3 linked regions of the Stegostoma tigrinum genome follow. The main gene of each other region encodes a partner of the protein of the gene in region 2 in a complex. Links are inferred from orthologs where the notes say so. Each region holds a gene or a part of one and is shown on either strand. Other genes may lie near its edges.

The links. The genes of interacting proteins can lie anywhere in the genome.
Region 1: polr1b (region 2) and polr1f share a complex: the UniProt entries of both Homo sapiens proteins name them as parts of the RNA polymerase I (Pol I) complex. The link is inferred for Stegostoma tigrinum from reciprocal best matches to the Homo sapiens genes POLR1B and POLR1F.
Region 3: polr1b (region 2) and taf1b share a complex: the UniProt entries of both Homo sapiens proteins name them as parts of the pol I pre-initiation complex. The link is inferred for Stegostoma tigrinum from reciprocal best matches to the Homo sapiens genes POLR1B and TAF1B.

The regions. Positions count from the first base shown.
Region 1 is NC_081355.1:73,093,635-73,100,876, forward strand, and holds the start of polr1f (DNA-directed RNA polymerase I subunit RPA43), read right to left. Parts: upstream 3,012-7,242; 5' UTR 2,997-3,011; coding exon 2,785-2,996; intron 1-2,784. UniProt on the Homo sapiens protein: Component of RNA polymerase I (Pol I), a DNA-dependent RNA polymerase which synthesizes ribosomal RNA precursors using the four ribonucleoside triphosphates as substrates.
Region 2 is NC_081357.1:19,879,674-19,886,595, reverse strand, and holds the start of polr1b (DNA-directed RNA polymerase I subunit RPA2), read left to right. Parts: upstream 1-3,898; 5' UTR 3,899-3,911; coding exon 3,912-4,121; intron 4,122-6,922. UniProt on the Homo sapiens protein: Catalytic core component of RNA polymerase I (Pol I), a DNA-dependent RNA polymerase which synthesizes ribosomal RNA precursors using the four ribonucleoside triphosphates as substrates.
Region 3 is NC_081357.1:115,511,591-115,518,619, reverse strand, and holds the start of taf1b (TATA box-binding protein-associated factor RNA polymerase I subunit B), read right to left. Parts: upstream 3,012-7,029; 5' UTR 2,997-3,011; coding exon 2,913-2,996; intron 2,423-2,912; coding exon 2,324-2,422; intron 1-2,323. UniProt on the Homo sapiens protein: Component of RNA polymerase I core factor complex that acts as a GTF2B/TFIIB-like factor and plays a key role in multiple steps during transcription initiation such as pre-initiation complex (PIC) assembly and postpolymerase recruitment events in polymerase I (Pol I) transcription.

The DNA.
Region 1 (7,242 bases), on a different chromosome or scaffold from region 2:
CAGCAGTCCATAAAACTACTTTCAATCATAATGTGATGGAAGCTGATATTGACTGTGCTATCATTGTACACAGTCAACAATAATCTACTCAATTTGGGTTCCACCGAGATCATTAGGCTCTTCAGCTCAATTCAGCGTTGATCCAAACATGGATAAACAGTAAGATGGTAAAGGAAACAATATCCTTCTTATCAAGTTACTGTTTGACGACACATGGCATCAAGTAGCCCAAGTAAAATTTCATCAATAGGAATTGGAGAAAACTGTCCATTTGTTGGAAGTCTAGTACAAAAGGAAGGAAATCGTAGATGCTGAAAGCCAACTCAACAGAGCAGTAGACCAAGTTCTTTAGCTGTTTTACGAATAACCTTTCCTTAATGTTATGATTAGAAGAGAGGACAATCTCTGATGATTACTCAAAGTTCAGTTTTATTTGCTATTCCTCAGCTAATGAGTTTATACTCACATGCAGTTAAACCTGGACTCCACAGGTTCAAGCTGATAAGCAACAAGTGCCAAAGTCTCCAACGAGACAGTGTCCAACCACCTCCTTTTAACATTCAATAACTAAAGAACTGACCATCTACTTCAAAAAGAAAGGAGAACACACCTTCATCTACATCAATGGAACTGAGGTGGAGAGTGAAGAGCATCAAGTTCCTTGGAGTGACAATAACCTGTCCTGGACTTAACATGTAAATGCCACAGTCAAGGCGGCACAACAATGCCTCTTTTTCTTCAGACAGTTCAGGAAATTTAGCATGTCCTTAGATACCCTCACTAAATTCTACAGATGCACCATAGAAAGCATCCTGTCCAGGTGCATAACGGCCTGGTATGGCAACTGCTCTGCCCAGGACTGTAAAAAACTACAAAAGGTTGTATGTATGGCCCAGACCATCACAGAAGCCAATCTTCCGTCCATGGACTTTAATTACACAGCTCACAGCTGCAGAAGGGTGACCAATATTATCAAAGACCCATCGCACCCTGGTAATGATCCCCTACAACCTCTTCTGTCAGGCAGAAGATACAGAAACCTGAATACACGCACAAGCAGCTTCTGTCCTGCTATTATCAGACTGTTGAATGGACTCTAGCCTCAAATAATGATGCTTGCAATGTAACCTGTATGCCTCTAAGTTGTTTTGATCTGTACATCCTTTGCTTACGAGCGTGACGGGCAGGTCATGGTAAGCAAAGCCTTTCATTATATTTCTGTACATATGACAATAAAAATCAGTGTTACTACAACAAATGGAATAATTGACACAAACACAAAGATGACCATCAAAACTTCCATCTGCACCATTAGACGTGGTGACAGATTTTTAAGCTTGAGTGCATCTGCACACGCACGGGTAACATTCGTAGGTTCTATTTGCATTAACATCTATGGTTACTCTTGCAGTGATGGTCCTACTAAAGCTGAATGTTTACACAGCTAGGGAAGCCTGGGACAGAGAGCCCAGGCAGAGCGACACTGGCTGTTGAGCAGTTCAGTGTCTCAAAGAGGGCAAGTGAGAGGGTGAACAGTTTTTCAACAACAGCATCTTCCCTTCTGCCAGACAAAGACTCGGCATTTTTCCAGCTAATGATTATCCGATGCAAGCTGCCAACTTAACTTGCAAGTTCTGCTCTCCCTTTAAGGTCAACATGCAACTGACTTAGAATCCCAGAATTATATATTTAAGCAAGTTAGCTAGTTCAAATTTCAGCCACATGACAAGGACAGACACTTCTTTTGTCCACAGCTGGCTTGACAAAATCAGCTCGTGACCAGCAACTGTGCGTCAGTTTTAGGTGGAAATACGATACAACGTAGGTATTTCAGAAACTTATTGAAAGTCATTTGATCAGCCTCAGCTATTTTATAAGTGCGGCAACATTATCCATTTTTAAAAGGAAACAGAATTTAACAAAATTATAGAAGAGAATACTTTGGAATTTAAGTTCATTGCCCTTGGCATTGACAAAAATGCTACTTAAATGGAAAGAAAGAGCAGAATGCTGCAACACAAAGGGTCTATCAGGTGTCCATGCACATAAATCAACTTACATATAGGTGAACAGGTAACTGAGCAAATATAATTTCTGCAAGGAGAACTGGAGGAGGGAGTGGCAAAAATAGGGGTAGAGATGGGGTTCGGTTTAAGAGAAGGTTGCCAGAAGGGGAGAGTTGAGATTGGGGTGAGCAAAAACTGGGCTACGGCTTTGGGAAGTTCAGTTGGGATGGGTGAGAGAAGAGGGGTAAGGAAGCGAAGTAAGGCGAACCAGTTCTGACATTGAGTTGGTAGAGTGATAGAGAATCTGGATCATCTGACCGGGTCCTTTGCTGGCTTCGGAGTGCTGATCCATGGAGTTCTGGTCTACAGAGGTCAAGCCGGATTTCAAATGTGTTTGTAAGAGTAATAGGAATACAGAATTGATTCTGTATTTTAAATCCATGGGCTAATGAGTTTGGAGTTTAAACCTTTGTTTTTAAGTGAGTTCCCTCCTCCACCCTCTGAAACTGATGCCCTCTCATTCAGCCTCTCCGGTCTTCCCCCGTCTTCTGTAATCTTTCCAAATCCCCAGTGCTCCCTCTCTCTTCTCCTCCACCTCTTGCCCCTCTCCTACATCCTCCTCACCCAACTCGTCTCACCCCGCACCCACCCTCACATCAGACGCGTGAAAAGGGAAAGTTTAAGAGTGATAACGGGCCAAACGCAGGGAGGTTTAGTTGAGGGAAAGCGGGTCGGCACGGCCGGGCTGGGCCGAAGGGCCTGTTTCCGCGCCCCTCACCTCTCGGAGAAACGGAGTAGCTCTGTCCGGAGCTGCTTCTCGATGCCGGATCTCTGCCGCTTAAGGAAGACTGGAGACAGGGTGATGTGCCTTCGGAAGGTGTCCAGCACCAGGCACGAGTACGGGCTCTTGATGAGGGAGCAGGCCTGGCTGAAAGAGAGCTGCTGTCCTCCCCCTGAGACCACACGGCCCTCCGGCCCAGAACTCGCCATGCTGCTGCTGCCGCCGTAAAGCGGCGCCGAGCTGTCGTAAAGTGGTTCACCGGCCACCAGGTGGTGCTGGTTTCCAGTCAGAACTGGTACGGGAAGTAGGAGAGGAATGAGCTGTAGGTGGTCAAGTTTATGCAACTGTGGTTATCACATTTACTGTCAGAATTCTCAATAGATTTAAAAATCATCCATGTCGAGAGTTAAAATCGTACTCTCTGTCCACCTGGAATGATTCCACTGCTGAAGGAGGCCATTCAGTGTGTTTTTTTTGTTACTTAGCGAGCCATCTGTAGTTCACCAGGTGCTGCTAACCCTCTACTTTTCCTTTTAACAAAATGAAGATAAAATTCCCTTTGATTCTGTCTCCACCACAGTCTCAGCCAGTGTATTCTAGACCCTAATAACTGAATTAAAACATTTCCCCTGAATGCTTCCTTTACCAGTTATCGAAAGTTTGTGTTCTGTAGTCTATAATGCTCCCATTAATGTTCACTCTCTACCTATTCTGTTCAAACACCTCATGATTTTCAACAATTCTGTTAAATCACACTTCAATCTCCTCCAAAAGGTACAATTCCACTTTGTCTAATCTACTGATGTTACTGATGTTTCTCATCTCTGCAGGCAATTTTGTGAATAGTTCTCTACTGGCAAGAATGAATTGTCCTGGAAACAGCCCTGAGAAAAGTATTCTTCTGTTCATTCCTTCATACTTCAGTCCTTACTTTGAGACGAGGCGATGGTCTCGAGATATTGCCACTGGACCAGTAAGCCAAAGACCCTGGTAATGTTCTGAGTTTGAATTCCACCACAGCAAATGGTGGAATTCCAATTTGATAAAAATCTGGAATTAAAAGCCTAATGATGACCCAGAAACCAATGTCAGTTGTTGAGAAAACCCATCTCGTTCACTAGTGTCCTATAGGAACGGAACTATTGTTCTCGCCTGGCCTGGCTCCAGACCAACAATAATGTGCTTGACTCTTAACCATCATCTGAAATGGCCTAGCAAGCCATTCAGATGTATCAATTACAAGAAAGTAATAAAACAGTGAAACAGGTCACACCCACTTGGCATTGACCAAGGAAAGGACAATAGCAAACACAACCCTGTCAACTCTATAAGCTAACTCTGACTTACTAACATCTGGGCTTTCAAGCCAAAATTAAGAGAGCTGTTTTATAGATTCATTAAGCAACTACTTGACATAATCATACACACAGAATGATACTTCACAGACAATGATCCACTGGCAGGACAGATCTAGTGGATATGACAATACAGTAGTATACAGTTAGGAGGGACATGCCGTGCGAGTCTTCAACGTTGATTCTGTTTGTCATGAGGTGCCACGGCATCAGGTCAAACATGTATAAAAACATTCTCCTGCTCTTTACAGCATACCATCATCCCCTCAGCACCCGGAGCAAGCAATAAGGGTGGTAGCAAGGCCTCATTTAATCAAGTGTGACATCTAGGAATTCTAGCAAAACTAGCATCAATGGGAATCAAGAAGAAAACTCTGCTAGTTGGAGTCAGTCCTAGCCAAAGGAAGTAGGTTGTGATTGATGGAGATCAATCATCTCAACTCCAGGATATCCATGCGGGAGTTCTACAGGGTAGCATTCTAAGCCCACTATCAGTAAGAAGAGCAAGTCAGAGGGAAGAAATTTTTCTGTAATTCCCAAAGTACCCCAAAGCCTGTCCAGCATGCACAAACCACAAGTCAGGACTCTGATGAAATACTCCCTACTTGCTTAGTGCAGCTCTCACATACTCAAGATACTTAACACTATTCAGGACTAAGCAGGCTGCTTAACTGGTCCCACATCCATCAAAACCCACTTCCTCCACTACTGATGCACAGCAGCCTCATTGGGTGCTATCTATGAGCAGCGTTGCAGAAATTCACCAAAGCTGCTTAGACAGCACCCTCCAAACCTACGATCACTTCCACTCAGAAAGTAAAAGGCAGCAGATATATGGGGACACTGCAAGTTTCCCTACAAGCCACTCACCATCATAACATGGAAATGTATCACTATTCCTTCAGCGTCACTGAGTCAAAATCCTGCAATTCCCTCCTTAAGGGCATTGTGCGTGTAACTACACTAACTTGAGGGCAGCTCACTATTATCTTCTGAAGAGCAACTAGGGAGGGGCAATAAATGCCAGTCCAGCCGGTGTCACCCATGCCCAATAAGTGAATAAAGAAAACTAGGAGATCAGATAGATGAATATATTTCAAAAAGTTGCTTTGAGGAACATGACAAGTTTTTTAGAAGTCGTATTTTATTTTCTTACTTGTTAACCTCATGGGTCGGTCATCATTGTTATATATTGATCTATTGCCTAGGCAGAGAAAACCTTTAAAACATATTTGGAGCAAAGGTATATCTCAAAAAGACTAGTTTCTCAGGTCATGATTACAGGAAGTTATTGATCCTTGGTCAGGCAAAAGTAAATTAATACACAAAATGACAAGTCATTTCTCTGAATTCTCTCTTAGGGAGATTCTTTAGCATATCTGGCACTCAAAATACATCTCACATCATCACATATGAAAATTCCCTTTTGGTCTTGATAGATCTGTGAAAGAGAGTACTAAAACTCCGAACCCAAACACCAAAAAGGCAGTCTGTCAAGGATATGCTGAGAAAATGTTGGAGCAGCCAGGATCCTAAAGGGAAGCAAAGATGGGATTATTCCAAGACCACAAAGAAACAAAACAGGCAGACTTATTCTTATTAAGTTAAATAAGAGGACACAATCCTCTTACGGGGTTAATGGCAGGATTCTTGGTAGTGTGGATGAACAGAGGGATCTTAGGGTTCACGTCCGTAGATCCGTCAAAGTTGCCACCCAAGTTGATAGGGTTGTAAAGAATGTGTATGGTGTGTTAGCTTTCATTGGCTGGGGAATTGAGTTTAAGAGCCGCGGGGCTATGCTGCAGCTCTATAAAACCCTGGTTAGACCACACTTGGAATATTCCATTCAGTTCTGGTCGCCTCATTATAGGAAGAATGAGAAAGCTTTAGAGAGGGTGCAGGGGAGATTTACCAGGATGCTGCTTGGACGTGAGAGCAGGTCTTATAAGGAAAGATTGAAGGAAGTAGGGCATTTTTCATTGGAGCGAAGAAGGATGAGAGGTGACTTGACAGAGGTGTACAAGATGATGAGAGGCATAGATAGTGTGGATAGCCGGAGACTTTTTCCCAAGGTGGAAATTACTATTAGGAGGGGCATAATTTTACAGTGATTGGAGGAAGGTGTCGTGGAGATGTCAGAGGTAGTTTCTTCACACAGAGAGTGGTGGGTGAGTGGAATGTGCTGCCAACGGTGGTAGTGCAGTCAGATACCTTAGGATCATTCAAGCGACTCTTGGATAGGCACAAGGATGATAGTTAAATGAAGGTTATGCAGGTTAGTTTTGATCTTACAGTAGGATAACAGGTTGGCGCAACATCGTAGGCCCAAGGGCCTGTACTGTGCTGTATTGTTCTACATTCTATGTTCTAATCGATTCCAAGTGACCTGTGTTCTTCATTGTTGTCACATTTGTGACCATAAGTTTTGCCTGATAAATTAAGTGACTCTGAACAGATTTGTTTATTGTACATTTTATCTTTCTTTGGAATAAATCAGTCAATAATTTGAATGAAAATTTACCTCCTTGACAATTAATGGGTCAATCATCAGAGAGATTGAATATGTCCATATGCTTCAAATACAGAACTTACACCGTTGCAAGTATAATATAGGGCAGTGGGAACCAAGTGCTGTGAAAGTTGGGTGCCCAGGTCAATAACAAGAGTAATCGACATCATTGAATCAGAGGATAGCTTTAGCGGAACAACATTCACAACAGTCCCTCCTAATATTTAATTTGCAAACAAAGGTAAATAAACACATTTATGTCTGTGACATTTACAATGTAGCACATCCTAACTCCTTAGTGATCTCGAACAAATTTGTTCTGGGAACCATTACCTGAGCCTTAACAGATTTAATTAGGTACTATTGACAACTTGCAAATCTGGAGTGAAATATTGCCAAGTTGACACATGGATGGAAAGTTAGTTCTCAGTTTAAGAAGCTTATGAGTGCATCATAGAGTCATAAAACACAGAAACCGTCTCTTTGGTCCAACCAGTCCTTGCTGAACATAATCCCAAACTAAACTAGTCCCACCTGGCCCACATCCCTCCGAACCTTTCCTTTTCATGTTATTATTCGAATGTCTTTTAA
Region 2 (6,922 bases):
TATGAGCGTGTGTTCATAAATTGGGGATCCCTTGTACTTACAGTAAATGTTCCATGTTAGCATATAGCCTAATGATAAGATATTTCAAATTGAAAATGATGGAAAGTGCAATTGAAATAAATTATTCACTATACACCAATTTCTACGAGTTTCTGGATGTGAGTTTGCTCGCTGAGCTGGAAGGTTAGTTTTCAGACGTTTCATCACCATTCTAGGTAACAGATGTTACCTAGAATGGTGACGAAACGTCTGAAAACTAACCTTCCAGCTTGGGGAGCAAACTCACATCCAGAAACTCAACTTGAGCTACAAATCTTCTCCAAACTCGCTACCTTCTACTGAGTTATCTGAGACTGCATACTTATTCATAAAGTTTGTTTTTAAATAACTATAAATTATATCCACTTGACCATTACAGAATTTGCAACAAAATTCAACTTGTCTCTATTATAACATCTTCCAGTCGATACTGATCCATGAGGCAGGTGCATGCTGAGTTCCACCTTCACTTTTATGCTGAGTCAGCCAACTCTGAGCAGATCCATGTTAGAACTTCCCTGATATGTAAACTGTGTCAATTGAGACTGTGTTCTTGTGATAAATATGGCCTTGATCTATACCCATGTGGACATTGTTCTGACTCTGCAATTGAATGGAGCAAATTTTCCCATTTTCCCACCTGAGGCTTTAGCCACACAATGTCTGATGTCTGGAATTCCCTCTAAATTGCTCCACCATCTTTAAGATGGCCCTTTTGACCTACCTTTTGGTCACATGTTCAGGTATCACCTTATGTAGTTCAGTATCAAATTTTCTTTAATGAAATTTCTGTGAAGTGCCTTGGGATATTTATTACATTCATGTTAGCACCTTTAATGGATGTTATCAAGCCCAAATTAAACAATACTGAATTAATGCAATACAACCATTTACAGAAACGATCATGAACAGCCGTAGTGAAGAGAGGAACATCTCCCACCTGGTGCAGATAATTGAATATTTACAAGTTTTACTTCTACAAATATTGTGTAGAAATTCATCACAGACCAAGTACCAAATGATAAAGGAAGATAAAAAGATAACATCTGGTGTAGAAAATCTGTCCGTCAAATGCTATGGTATTGGAGGATCCAGAGTAATGAATAGTGTCGATCTTTATATGAGTCTAAAATAAAACAAATCACCACGGGGAGCACAAGTAATCAGGAGGGGTCGGAACATCAAGTTTTATTAGATACAGGCTGTTGAATATTGGTGTCCCTTTAAAACTAAATTTTCCTAGTATTTGCTGTATATAGCACAGGGTTTCATTTAAAAGCTAGGACACCTGTACCTTCAATTTCAAAGTTCTCATATGAAATTAAAATGAAAAATTACAAAAAAGGACATAATGCCATGAATTAGCATCAACAAGTATCTGGTACCAAACAAACCCTGTTGGTGGAAAAGCTCGGCAGATCTGGCAGAAACTGTGGAGAGAAGTCTGAGTTAACGATTTGGATTGAGTAACCCTTTCCACAGATTCTGCCAGATCTGCTGAGTTCTTCCAGCATTTTCTGTTTTTTTTTCTAATGTACAGCATCTGTAGTTCTTTAGGACCCTGCCAGTATATTGTTTTTGAAAATAAGTATTTATTCTCAGAAAGAATCGTAAACAAACCCTCAGGTTAAGGTGGGCAAGGGGACAATAGTCATGTAATGTCATGGATAGTTGTTCCATGGCCATTTGCTAAAAAGGTTCAGATTGATGGGCACATAGAAAATAATGTGTACCCTAACATGGTAATTCAGTTGGGTTGCTCTTATAAACCATGGCAACAAAATGGTAGATTGTGGAGAGCATTAGAACTTTGTTCTTGAATTAATATCTTTAAATTTAAGGCCTAGGCTATTGCTCTTTATAATCGGGAAAGATGTTCACATTTTGAACTTTATGACCTTTACAACAATGGAGAAAAATCTGGGATATATGTAATTGTATTTTAAATAACTGCACTGGTTTGCCTCTACTACATTGCTTGGTAGATTATTTTAAACATTTTTCATTGGGTAAGAATGGTTCTCCTGATACCTGTACCAAATTAACACTGATTTATAACTTATGTCCTTTACCTCCTTTTTTGGCATAATTTAGAGTCTTTTTAAGATAATATTTATTTTTTGTGATTTTTCAAAAAATTTCTTAAAGCACACAAGCTTTAAGCCTGATTAATGTTTCTTTGTCATTTCTCCCTTCTATGCTGAAAGTATCCTTTTCTAACGTGTAAAACTTTCTTAGTAACAGACAAAAGTGAACAGTTTTCCAAATGGATGAGGGATGCATGTGGATCAAATGCACCAATGTAACACAGATGATAAGATCGAAGGGTTTGTTGCATTGTATAGCCAACCTTGTACTATGATTTGTACTGTTAACAAATCTTATCAATAAAAGAAAGGACAGGGTGAAATTCATGATAACAAAGTGTGGAGCTGGATGAACGCAGCATCTTAGGAGCACATAAGCTGACGTTTCGGGCCTAGACTCTTCATCAGAAAAAAAACCATGGATTGGCAGCAACAATAGAAATTGCTGTCGAAACTCGGCATGTTTAGCAGCATCTGTGGGAGAAAGCAGAGTTAACATTTCAAAGCCATTGTCTCTTAATTGGAACTGCGCCAGATCTGCTGAGTTTTGCCAGCAATTTCTGTTTTTGTTTCCGATCTCCAGAATCTGCAGTTGTCTTTTTTTATTTTGTGGATTTACGGATTGAATTACATTCGTGAATGTAAAATGAGGGAGAGATTATGGTCTCCATAGGTTGACTCAATAAATACCATCAAAAAGTGCACAACATATGGAACTGTGTTTACAGATTATTTTTAATTTACACGACACCAGGCTATAGTCCAACGGGTTTATTTAATATCACAAGCTTTTGGAGCGCAGCCTCTTGCTCAGGTGAAGTGTGAGCAAAGAGCACACAGACCAATTTAGACAACAGAAATCAAGGGCAGAGAGTTAGAACTGGTGTGAGTCCAATGATAAGTCCCTGCAGGTATCCGAGAGTGATAGATGGTGTGAATAAAGAGTCGACAGCTGAATAACAAGTGAAGGGACGCCTATAATCCGATTATGAGGCAGAGAGATAATTACAAAACAACTAAACTAACTGGAAATAACAGGATAGGTATGGCAGTCACATGCTGAGGGTCTAAGCAAAATAATGAATATTTCCAATCTACAAACTAATTAAGGTAGAGATGGTGGCTCAGTGGTTAGCATTACAGCGTCAAAGTCATAGATTTGATTCTACCCTTGGATGACTGTGTGGGTTTCCTCTGGGCGCTCCAGCCTGCACCCACAGTCCGAAGATGTGTAGGTTTGGCCGTGCAAAAACTGCTCATAGTTTGCAGGGAAGTGCAGGCTCGGTGGGTCGGCGATGGGGAATGCGGGGTTACGGGGATTGGATGGGCCTGGGTGGGACGCTGTTCCTGGGGTCCGTGTGGACTCGATGGGCCGAATGGCCTGCTTCTACACTGTAGGGATTCTATGATCATAACACTTTATCAAGGTGATGCTGTCAACACAGGACAGTAAGGAAGCACTCCACATCATGTTTCTGTTCGACGATTACAACAACTACATTTATCTTTTGATTTCGGCGAAAACAACGCCTTTTAAATATAAAGGAAATGTCATTACCTTCCAATCAACTAATTTGTTTTGTACATATTGTTGGAATAATACTCATGCAAGTAAAAGCTATCTGTTTAAAATGAATGAACATGAATTGAGGCACAATCCAAATGTCTTGAGTTGGGAACTCAGCATTGCATCCCCCTCCCTCCTGCGCACGCTCGGCGATCCTGAAGCGGAACCTTTATCGTTTGCCGTTGTTGCCCCCCCGATCCTTCTATCTCGTTGGACAAATGGCGGACAAGTGGAGGCAGCTGTGTGGCGAAGAGCGGCTCCGGCCGAGCCTGAAGAACCTGACAGAGCCGGGGCTGAGGATGGGGCGAGTGGGCTTGGACCCGGACCCGGAGCAGCGGCAGCGGCGGAGGGCATTGCTGGAGTTGGTCGCGGCTCACGTGGACTCGTTCGACCAGGCGGTGAGCGAGGGGCTGGCTAGGGCCGTGCAGGTGAGTGCGAGCCCAGAGCACGTGGGGCATGGGTTCGTGTCGGGGCGGGGGGGGGCGGAAACGGAGGGCAACAATGGGGCACGGGCACTGGGGGGGGGGGCGGAAACGGAGGGCAACAATGGGGCACGGGCACGGGCACTGGGGGGGGGGCGGAAACGGAGGGCAACAATGGGGCACGGGCACTGGAGGGGGGGGCGGAAACGGAGGGCAACAATGGGGCACGGGCACTGGAGGGGGGGGCGCGGAAACGGAGGGCAACAATGGGGCACGGGCACTGGGGGGGGGGCGCGGAAACGGAGGGCAACAATGGGGCACGGGCCCTGGAGGGGGGGGGGGCGCGGAAACGGAGGGCAACAATGGGGCACGGGCCCTGGAGGGGGGGGGGGCGCGGAAACGGAGGGCAACAATGGGGCACGGGCCCTGGGGTGGGGGGCGGAAACGGAGGGCAACAATGGGGCACGGGCCCTGGAGGGGGGGGGGTGGAAACGGAGGGCAACAATGGGGCACGGGCCCTGGGGTGGGGGGCGGAAACGGAGGGCAACAATGGGGCACGGGCCCTGGGGTGGGGGGCGGAATCGGAGGGCAACAATGGGGCACGGGCCCTGGAGGGGGGGGCGGAAACGGAGGGCAACAATGGGGCACGGCCCTGGAGGGGGGGGGGCGCGGTAACGGAGGGCAACAATGGGACACGGGCCCTGGAGGGGGTTGGGGGGGGTCACGGGCGGCAACAATGGGGTACGGGCTGGAGGGGCCGGAGGGCAACAACGAGGCACGGACCATGGAGCGGGGGTGGGGGGCCGGAGGGCAAGAAGGCAAGAATGGGGCACGGGCTCGGGGCGGGGGACAACAACAATGGTGCATGGTCATGGGGGGGGGCAACAATGGGGCATGGGCCCTGAGGCATCAACATGTACAGGGGCAACAGCAGTGGCTATAGAGCAGGCATAACTGCATTGGGCCATGAGGCATGTAACGGAGCATAATAGCACAGGGTAGTTGGACCATAGAAGGATCAGCAACATGGACCTGGGAAACAGCAGCAGCTATAGAGGAGGCATAACTGCAGTGGGCCATGAGGCATGTAACGGAGCATAATAGCACAGGGTAGTTGGACCATAGAAGGATCAGCAACATGGACCTGGGAAACAGCAGCGGTTGGAGTATCAGTCTTAAGGATCTGGGCATTGGCAACATCGACCATGGTATGGGTGATGAGCAACAGCACCTTGCAAGGGATAATGGGAACTGCAGATGCTGGAGAATTCAAAATAAAGTGTGGAGCTGGATGAACACAACAGGCCAAGCAGCGTCTCAGGAGCAAGGCTCTTGATAGGCAGATGAGGAAAGGATGTTTTCTTTTATGGGAGAGTCTTGAATTAAGGGTTGCAGTCACCTATTTAAAACAATGATGAGATTATTTTTCTTCTCGGCTGTGCATTGGGAGCCTTAGAACTCTGTTTCTTTAAAAAAAAGTGGTGGTAGTGGAATTTTCAAGGAACCGTATGTACAATCATCTTGTGCTAGGTGATGAAAATCAGGGTTTGGTGGGAATGGGGATTTGGAGTTGTAATCAGGTGAGCTGTGATCTTACTAAATGGTGTTGTAGACTCAAGAGGCTGAATGGCCTACCCCTGATTCTAATATAGAGTCACAGAGATGTACTGCACAGAAACAGAAAGTGCTTTTAAATTTTTAAAAGACCTTGACTATTTACCCGATCCATGCTCCTCATGATTTTATAAACCTCTATAAGGTCACCCCTCGGCCTCTGACTGCAACAGGGAAAATAGCCCCAGCTATTCAGCCTCTCCCTATAAGCTTAAACCCTCCAATCCTGGCAGCATCCTTGTACATTTTCTGAAGAAGGGTCGAGGCCCGAAACGTCAGCCTTCCTGCTATGTTCATCCAGCTCTACACCTTGTTATCTCAGATTCTCCAGCATCTGCAGTTCCTACTACCTCTGAGATCAGAACTGCACACAGTATTCCAAATGTATGTTTATATGAAAGCAGCAACTGGACAGGGAGAATAGCTACATGAATCTGAGTAATGACATCAGAGGCATCAGAAACATGCTCCAAGGCAGCAGTAATATGGACCCTGAGCCACCACCCAGATGCCGGTGCTCTGAATTGCAAGAGCAAATGTCAGCCTGGGCCTTGGTAGCTCTTCAGTTGGTTGGGCTGGGCTTTATTCATCAGCCATTCCCACTAGTTTCCTTAATTACTGTAGAGATGTAGAACATAGAAGGGAACCACTTCTCCACTCAAGATTCTTTGAAGTGCAGTCAACATCCTTGCTGTTTTTACTCTTCAATTATTTATTGAATTTCTTCTTGAATGAGTCAAATCTCATCTTTATCTTCTTTGCTTCAAGAGGTCTCACACCTCCTCCAGTCTTTCTATGCAATTATAATCCCTCATTGTTGAACCTATTCTATTAATTTTTAAAATTCTGTCCAAAATCTTTGTAATCTTCCTTAATTGGACACAATGCTCCTGATTGGACAGCACTGGTATTTTATTTCGGTCAATTCTTGTATAATATCCTGGCATTTGTACCCGACAATAAAACCCAGAATCCCATATCCTTTCTTAACTGCTTTATTAGAGTCATAGAGATGTATACAGAATGGAAACTGACCCTTTGGTCCAACCTGTCCATGCTGACCAGATATCCAAAATAAATCTAGTCCCGTTGCCAGCATTTGGCCCATATCCCTCTAAACCTTTCTTATTCCTGTACCCATCCTTTTAAATGTTGTAATTGTACTAGCCTCCTTCACTTCCTTTGGCAGCTCG
Region 3 (7,029 bases), about 96 Mb from region 2:
ATTGTTGTTTGTGGGCTTCTGCTGTGCAAGTTGGCTGCTGCTTTTCCTACATTACAATGATCACACCAGTACTTCATTAGACATAAAGCGCACAGAGACATCCAGTGACTGTGAAAACTGTTGGAATATTGTTGCAAGACATCTTCATCCAGTGTATTCTGCAAAACTAGTAATGTTTGGTGGATGAAGTAATGCCTGCACTAAATGTATGATTCTTGAATGTGAATGCAAGATGATACTCCCTTCCCACACCCCAGAGCAACTGTCAAGTACAGCACCAGCTCAACTCATGTGGTGATCGGCAAATGCACGCAAGCCAAATATGTGACCTGTAACCTTTGACAATGGCAACTTTTGCTGAGACTGTTCTTATCCTTTACAATGCAACTATATCTTGGTGATTACAGTGAACAAAATTAAACACAGTATGAGGTTTTATCAATGCACTCTAAGACATCAGGTTGGCCTGTGTAGACTTGTATTCTAGTGTCTGATTATAAATTTCATTTCCTACCAATATTATAAAATGATTCAATGCGCTACCTGGAAATTGAAAGTGACATGACAGCTATTTAAAAACCCAAAGAACTGTGGATGCTGTAAATCAGGAACAGAAACAGAAGTTACTGGAAAAGCTCAGCAGGTCTGGCAGCATCTGTGAAGAAAAAAAATCAGAACTGACGTTTCGGGTCTGGTGACCCTTCCTCAGGGAGCAGCCAGCAGACCTCAAACATTTACTCTAATTTCTTTTTTTCACAGATGCTGCCAGACCTGCTGAGCTTTTCCAGTAACTTCTGTTTTTGTTGTGTCAGCTATTTAAACTTTTTGAATGGTTATAGTCAAGTTATATCGTGTGAGCTTATTCACCTGTGAAGAGCTTAATGGAGATTTCCCGACGTTCTCTTCAAAGACAATGTTGATTCAGTGCGATTACAAGATGAAACAGGTAACTTTCCCGAACACCTGTCCAGTAATGAATCCCTATCTTACCAGGTTAGAAATTAAATTGCCGGGTCAAATATCCAACAAAGATTTCCTACAGAACTTCATATTTTGAAAATTTACTACGACAAGAAAGGATGAAAGTTACTATTGACTGTGCTTTAATCACACTTTCAAGCAGTGCATTCCAAATCATAACAGTTTGCTGTGTAAATAATGTTTCTCTATTTCACCTCTGGTTCTTTTGCCATATTCACTGGTCACATTTGTTTTACTAATAGAACCACAAAGTGTCAGAGCAAAAGTAGGCTATTCAGCCCATCAAGTCTGCTCCACCATTTAATGAAACCATGTCCGATCTAATAATCCTCAACTCCACTTTCCTGCCTTTTCTCCATAATCTAGATTCTCTTACTGATCAAAATTGATCCATCCCAGATTTAAATATACTTAACAGCCCAGTTTCTTCAGCCCTCTGTGGTAAAGAATTCAACAGATGACAGCCCTCAAAGAAGAAATTCCTCCTCATCTTAATTTAGCGTATTAAATGAGTGACGCCTTATTCTGAGATTTTGACCTCTGGTTGTAGACTTTCCCCAGAAGGGAAAACATGCTTTCTTCAACTACCTTGTGAAGTCCCCGAAAAATCTTTCTTCAGACTATCCCTAAAAGTCTTGTATATTTCAATATGGTCATCTCTCATTCTTAACTCCAATGAGTACATGTCCAACCTACTCAACCTCACCTCCTAAAACAGTCCCTTCATACATGGGATCAGCCTAGTGCACCTTCTCTGGAGTGACTCTCACACAAATATAGCTTAGATAAGGTGGCCAAAAGTGTTCACAGTTTTCTGGGTACGGTCTCTGTTACCCTTGTCTGGCCCTCCCCACCGCTGCACCTTGTATGTTCCCCATGTCACTAGCCTCACCCAATCCCCCATTTACCTGCCCCTCTCCACTCCCTCTCTCCTGCACCAGCTCCCACACTCTCACACCCATACCTCCCCTAGACGCTCAGCCGTACCATTCCCACTCGTCCCTCTACACACCTTGCCCACATGTGTGACTACACACACACACACCTCTGCTCTCTCTCCTGCTTTCCCCTTTACCCACACCATCTCCTCCACCCTCTTCAACGTGATCTTGGTATTCACAATAAACATTGTCACTGTTCTTTGTCTCTTAATTTTACTGACGAAAATTTTACCAATATATTTCAAAACTATTGTAGTTTCATCTAGATACCTTTACAAATTCTCTATCAAGGTTGCCTGTAAATTGTACGTGTAATTATACCACAAGTTATTGTCTTCAGTAACTTGATCAGTCCTTAAATGAGGGAACATAAAATATAATCTTAATGAAATAGTACTCACCTCAATAACATTGTGGCAGGACTTGCAGAAGAATTTGCCTTCATCTGAAATTGCCCAGTTAATCACAGCACATCGTTCACATGCCTCTCTGAAATCTCTCTGAAAAGACAAATGTAGATTTCAACAAATCCTTTCCTAAAGAAACTGATGCATGAATGAGATGATACAATGTCATTTTGGCAAGGGGATAAAGAAACCAAAATGAAGGAATCGTAACTTTTATTCCACACCTCACATACAGATTAAAATGTAATTTCACAGTGATAGCAGTAATTACAATCAAAATGCCAGGAATGTTTGTGTACATGACAAGCTCCCAATATGGGAATGCCTTCATTTGCTAAACCAAACAAGTTTAGCCTAGTCATGTCCAGCTTGTACAAAATGCCCATGGCATGGACACTCTGAGGAGTAGGACTTCTTTAACACAGATGGCTGTGGAGGCTGAGCCATTAAGCACATGTTCAGGGGCTGAGATAGACAGATTTCTCATCAGTAAGGGAATATAAGCTCAGAAAACAGGAAGGTAGGCCAATCAGTGTTTCAAGCCTGCTCTGTTCATTCAACATTATCATGGTTGATCACTCACCTCACTACACTGTGTCTGCTTTCTCCCCTTACTGTTTGATCCCTTTAGCCATAACAACTTTCTCCAATTCCTTTTTGAAAACATGCAACATTTTGGCCTCAATCAAAAGTTATGAGTAAAAGCCAGGAAGTTCAGGATTATCAAATCAGTCATGATTTCACTAAAAGTGGAACAGACCTGTTGGACTGAATGGTCTATTACTACTAGATATTATGCCTTACTGTAATCGCAGTTAGATTACCACCTCAATTCCATTTTTGCTGTTAGGACTGAAGTCCGCTATTTCAGCTGAGAATTCTGATCCCACCTCATCCTGAAATAGGAGATCTAACACTTCCGCAGGATAGTCAATTGGAGGGGATGGGGCAAAAGGGAGAAGAATTCAGAGTCCCCTTTTGCAGCAAGCAGCGTGCAGTATTCAGAGATTTAAAGGCAGACGGTTACTTTGACATGTGCAGCGCAAGTGCAAGTATGTCGGTGAGTATGGGAATGGCGTGGCAGTTGGCCAGTTTCCTAGATAAATGATGGAGTGGGTTAGGGTAGATGGTGGGGAAATGTCGAGGTATACACAGAGGATGGGGAATATGGAGGACGGCAAGAAGGTAGGGGCTGGCAAGGGCGAGGGAGTGTAAAAGCCAACTGTTTAGCTTGGCGAGGATGTCATATCTCCGAGGGATTAAGTCGGGGAAGACTGTCAGACCCACCATGACGCTCAGGCCAGTAAAGGGGGTGTGGAGGGGGGACTGAGAGAGCTTCAGGCCGAGACGGTCCACCCAAACCAATGAGTCATTTATATTAACAGAAGTGTGGCGACAGATCACCTCCTTGCTGACAGATTTAAAGTTCTACAGTAACACCGTTCAAATGAGGGTGAGGCCCTTAGCGGCATCACAGGTGAAGGGCGGCCTGCTCCACGCCCTCTGCCCGCTCCACTCACCGTGTCCTCCTCATCCATTTCCCCAAACCCCGAGCACTCCTCCCACCCCCCAAAGCAGTTCCAACCGGACCACCTCCCCCCCCCCCACAGCGCACTTCCGGTCCGCCGCTCTAACCTGTCCGTATCCGGCGGAACGTGACCGCCTGCTCCTTGAAGTTCACCGAATAGGCAGGAAACCCTGCGCGAAGTTTAATACATTTCACTTTTAATGCATCAACACACGCGCTCTGTCCGTGAATGGGTTTGTGCCTTTTAAGAGGCTGTGTCGGACACGTAAATATGACCCAGTTTATTTTTAAACTTAACTTTTCAGTCAGCAGTTTGAATATTTGGCCTGTGGAAGGTTTTAATTTCGTCGAAATGGAACGACGCAAGATTGGGTAGGGTTCGTTGGAAACTGAAACCTAGTGCGTGAATAATCATTAGATGAAAATCAATCAGGGAAAAGAGGCGTGGAAGGACAGTAATCGTGTGATTCAATGTCTAGACAACAAGGAGGTGATTTAAAACTCGGAGAATGGCACCGTCTGAAGTCTCTGCCGAAGTACAATGGTGGTGCGTTCAGTGTCAGACCCTCTCGTTGCCTCAAATGTACGTAGTGTCCTGCATAAATAAGAAATGTCTTTGGTTTTTGCAACCGCAGGGAATGTCAGATTACAGCTTTTCTTGACGTGCGAACACTGTACAGAACTGCTTTAGTATCTGTGTACGTACTTTTTTTTTAAATGAGTAAGATATTTTCACAATAAAAAAAATACTCCGAAGAACAATGCGCAATGCAAAGTGAACACAATGAGGCCTCACAACTCACGGATCATACCACGTCGGAACAATGTAATCAATTCAACTCAGCACGTTTTCCAGCAAAATTTGCATGGGGAGGGCGTGGGATGGCATAACAACTGATCAGATGTAAATAGAATGAAGTCAACCTTTAAACTGAAAAATGGGCTCAGATGTTTGTACAACATTTAATTGTTTGGACATGATAGACCTGGAATAGTGTTTAAAACAGCTTCATAACAGAAGTGAAAAAAATTCAAAAACAAGTAGTGGAGTGTCCCTTATATAAAAGTCCGTTATGAAGTTACGTGCACACCAGTGGTCCTCTAGTGAGGATACCTACATCTGTTTTTAAAAAACTTACTGCACCAGGTCAATCCAACCTCCACCCCTAACTTATACTATCATCCATATGGCTATCTAATAGCTGCTTAAATGTCCCGAATGTGGCTGAATCCACTACCCTCTCTGGCAATGCATTCCACGCCCTGTCCACTCTCTGAGTAAAGAACCCACCTCTGACGTCTCCTCTATATCTATATCCACTCACTTTAAAATTATGCCCCCTCGTAATAGCTATCTCCACCCCTGGAAAAAGTCTCTGGCTGTCCACTCTATCTGTACCTCTGATCATTTTGTACACCTCCATCAAGTCACCTCTCATCCTTCTAAAGAGAAAAGCCCTAGCTCTCTCAACCTTTCCTCGTAAGACCTTCCTTCTATTCCAGGCAACAGCCTGGTAAATCTCCTCTGCACCTTTTCCAACACTTCCGCATCTTTCCTGTGATGAGGCGACCAGGACTGGACACAATACTCCAGATGTGGCCGAACCAGGGTTTTGTATAGCTGGAGCATAACTTCATGGTTCTTGAACTCAATCCCTCTATTAATGAAAACTAACACACCATACACCTCCTTAACAACTCTACCCATTTTTCAGGGAACTGTGGACATGAACCACAAGATCCCTGTGCTCCTCCACACTACCAAGAATCTTTCAGTTAACCCTGTATTCCACTTTCAAATTTGTCCTTCCAAAATGAATCACATTACACTTTTCAGGGTTAAACTCCACCTGCCATTTCTCAGCAGAACTCTGCATCCTACCAATATCCCTTTGTAACCTAGAACAGCCTTCCACACTATCCACAACTCCACCCCACCTTCGTATCGTCCGCGAACTGACTAATCCACCCTTCCACTCAGTCATCCAAATTATTTATAAAAATCAGAAATAGATGAGGACTGAGAACAGATCCTTGTGGTACACCACTCATAACTGAGCACCATGTTGAATAATTTCCATCCTCTACCACCCTTTGCCTTTTAAGGGTCAGCCAATTCCGAATCCAATCTGTCACATTTCCCCCATCCCATGCCTCCTTACTTTTTGCATGAGCCTACCATGGGGAACCTTATGAAATGCCTTACTTAAATCCATGTATACCACATCCACATGTTTGGTCACCTCTGCAAAGAATTCAATAAGGTTTGTGAGGCATGATCCACCCCTCACAAATATTCTTATTTCTACAACAATTTTGATTAGATCAACACTCTTTTTCTGCCTAGTTGCTGCCTGAGTTGCTGAACTTTTCGAGCATATTTTGATCTTATTTCAAATTTCCAGCATTAATAGTATTTTGATTTTGTATTTCTGTTTGTAATGTTACAGTAAAGTCAGAATAAAACTTGAGTCCATCTGTATCCCATTATTACTTTTTATTCACTTTATCTCTCATTTATAAAAAGCTTACAATTTTCTGGTGCCATTCACAGTTTAGTGTTGAGGGAACATTGTTAACCTGTACAATTTAGTCCCATTTTCCTTCAGTTTTGCACATGTTCTCTCAGTGAAAAGGAAGAGAGCATTGTTCAGATATGGCTGAAACTGCCTTAAGATAATATTGTTATATGTTTTGAGAGTGTGTTCTTTTGTTTGTCTGAGCATTGGATGTTCATGTCTGCACTCTTTCAGGATGCTGTTTTTATAAGGTTGCTATTATTCTTAGTGCCTTTGATCCCCAGTTCATTCTTATCCTGGCGTAAACTTTGTTAGCCTCTTCAGAATTGTATCTTGATTAGTATCCATTCACCACCTTCAACATTCACTCCCTTCACCACAATGGCAGCAGTGGGTATCATCTATGAGATACAATTGCATAACTCACCAAGACTTACCAACCTGTGACCCCTGTGATCGAGAAGGACAAGAGCTTGGTTGGGAACACCATCACCTGCAAGTTTCCCTCTAAGCTATGCGTTATTCTGACTTCAAAGTTGCTGAATCAAAATCTTGGAACTCCTTTCCAAATAGTACTGTGTTAAATTCTCTGTTAAAACCCTTTTCCTTATGTTGGTAGTCCAGAATTTCTGTTGCCCGTCTTTGATTTCATC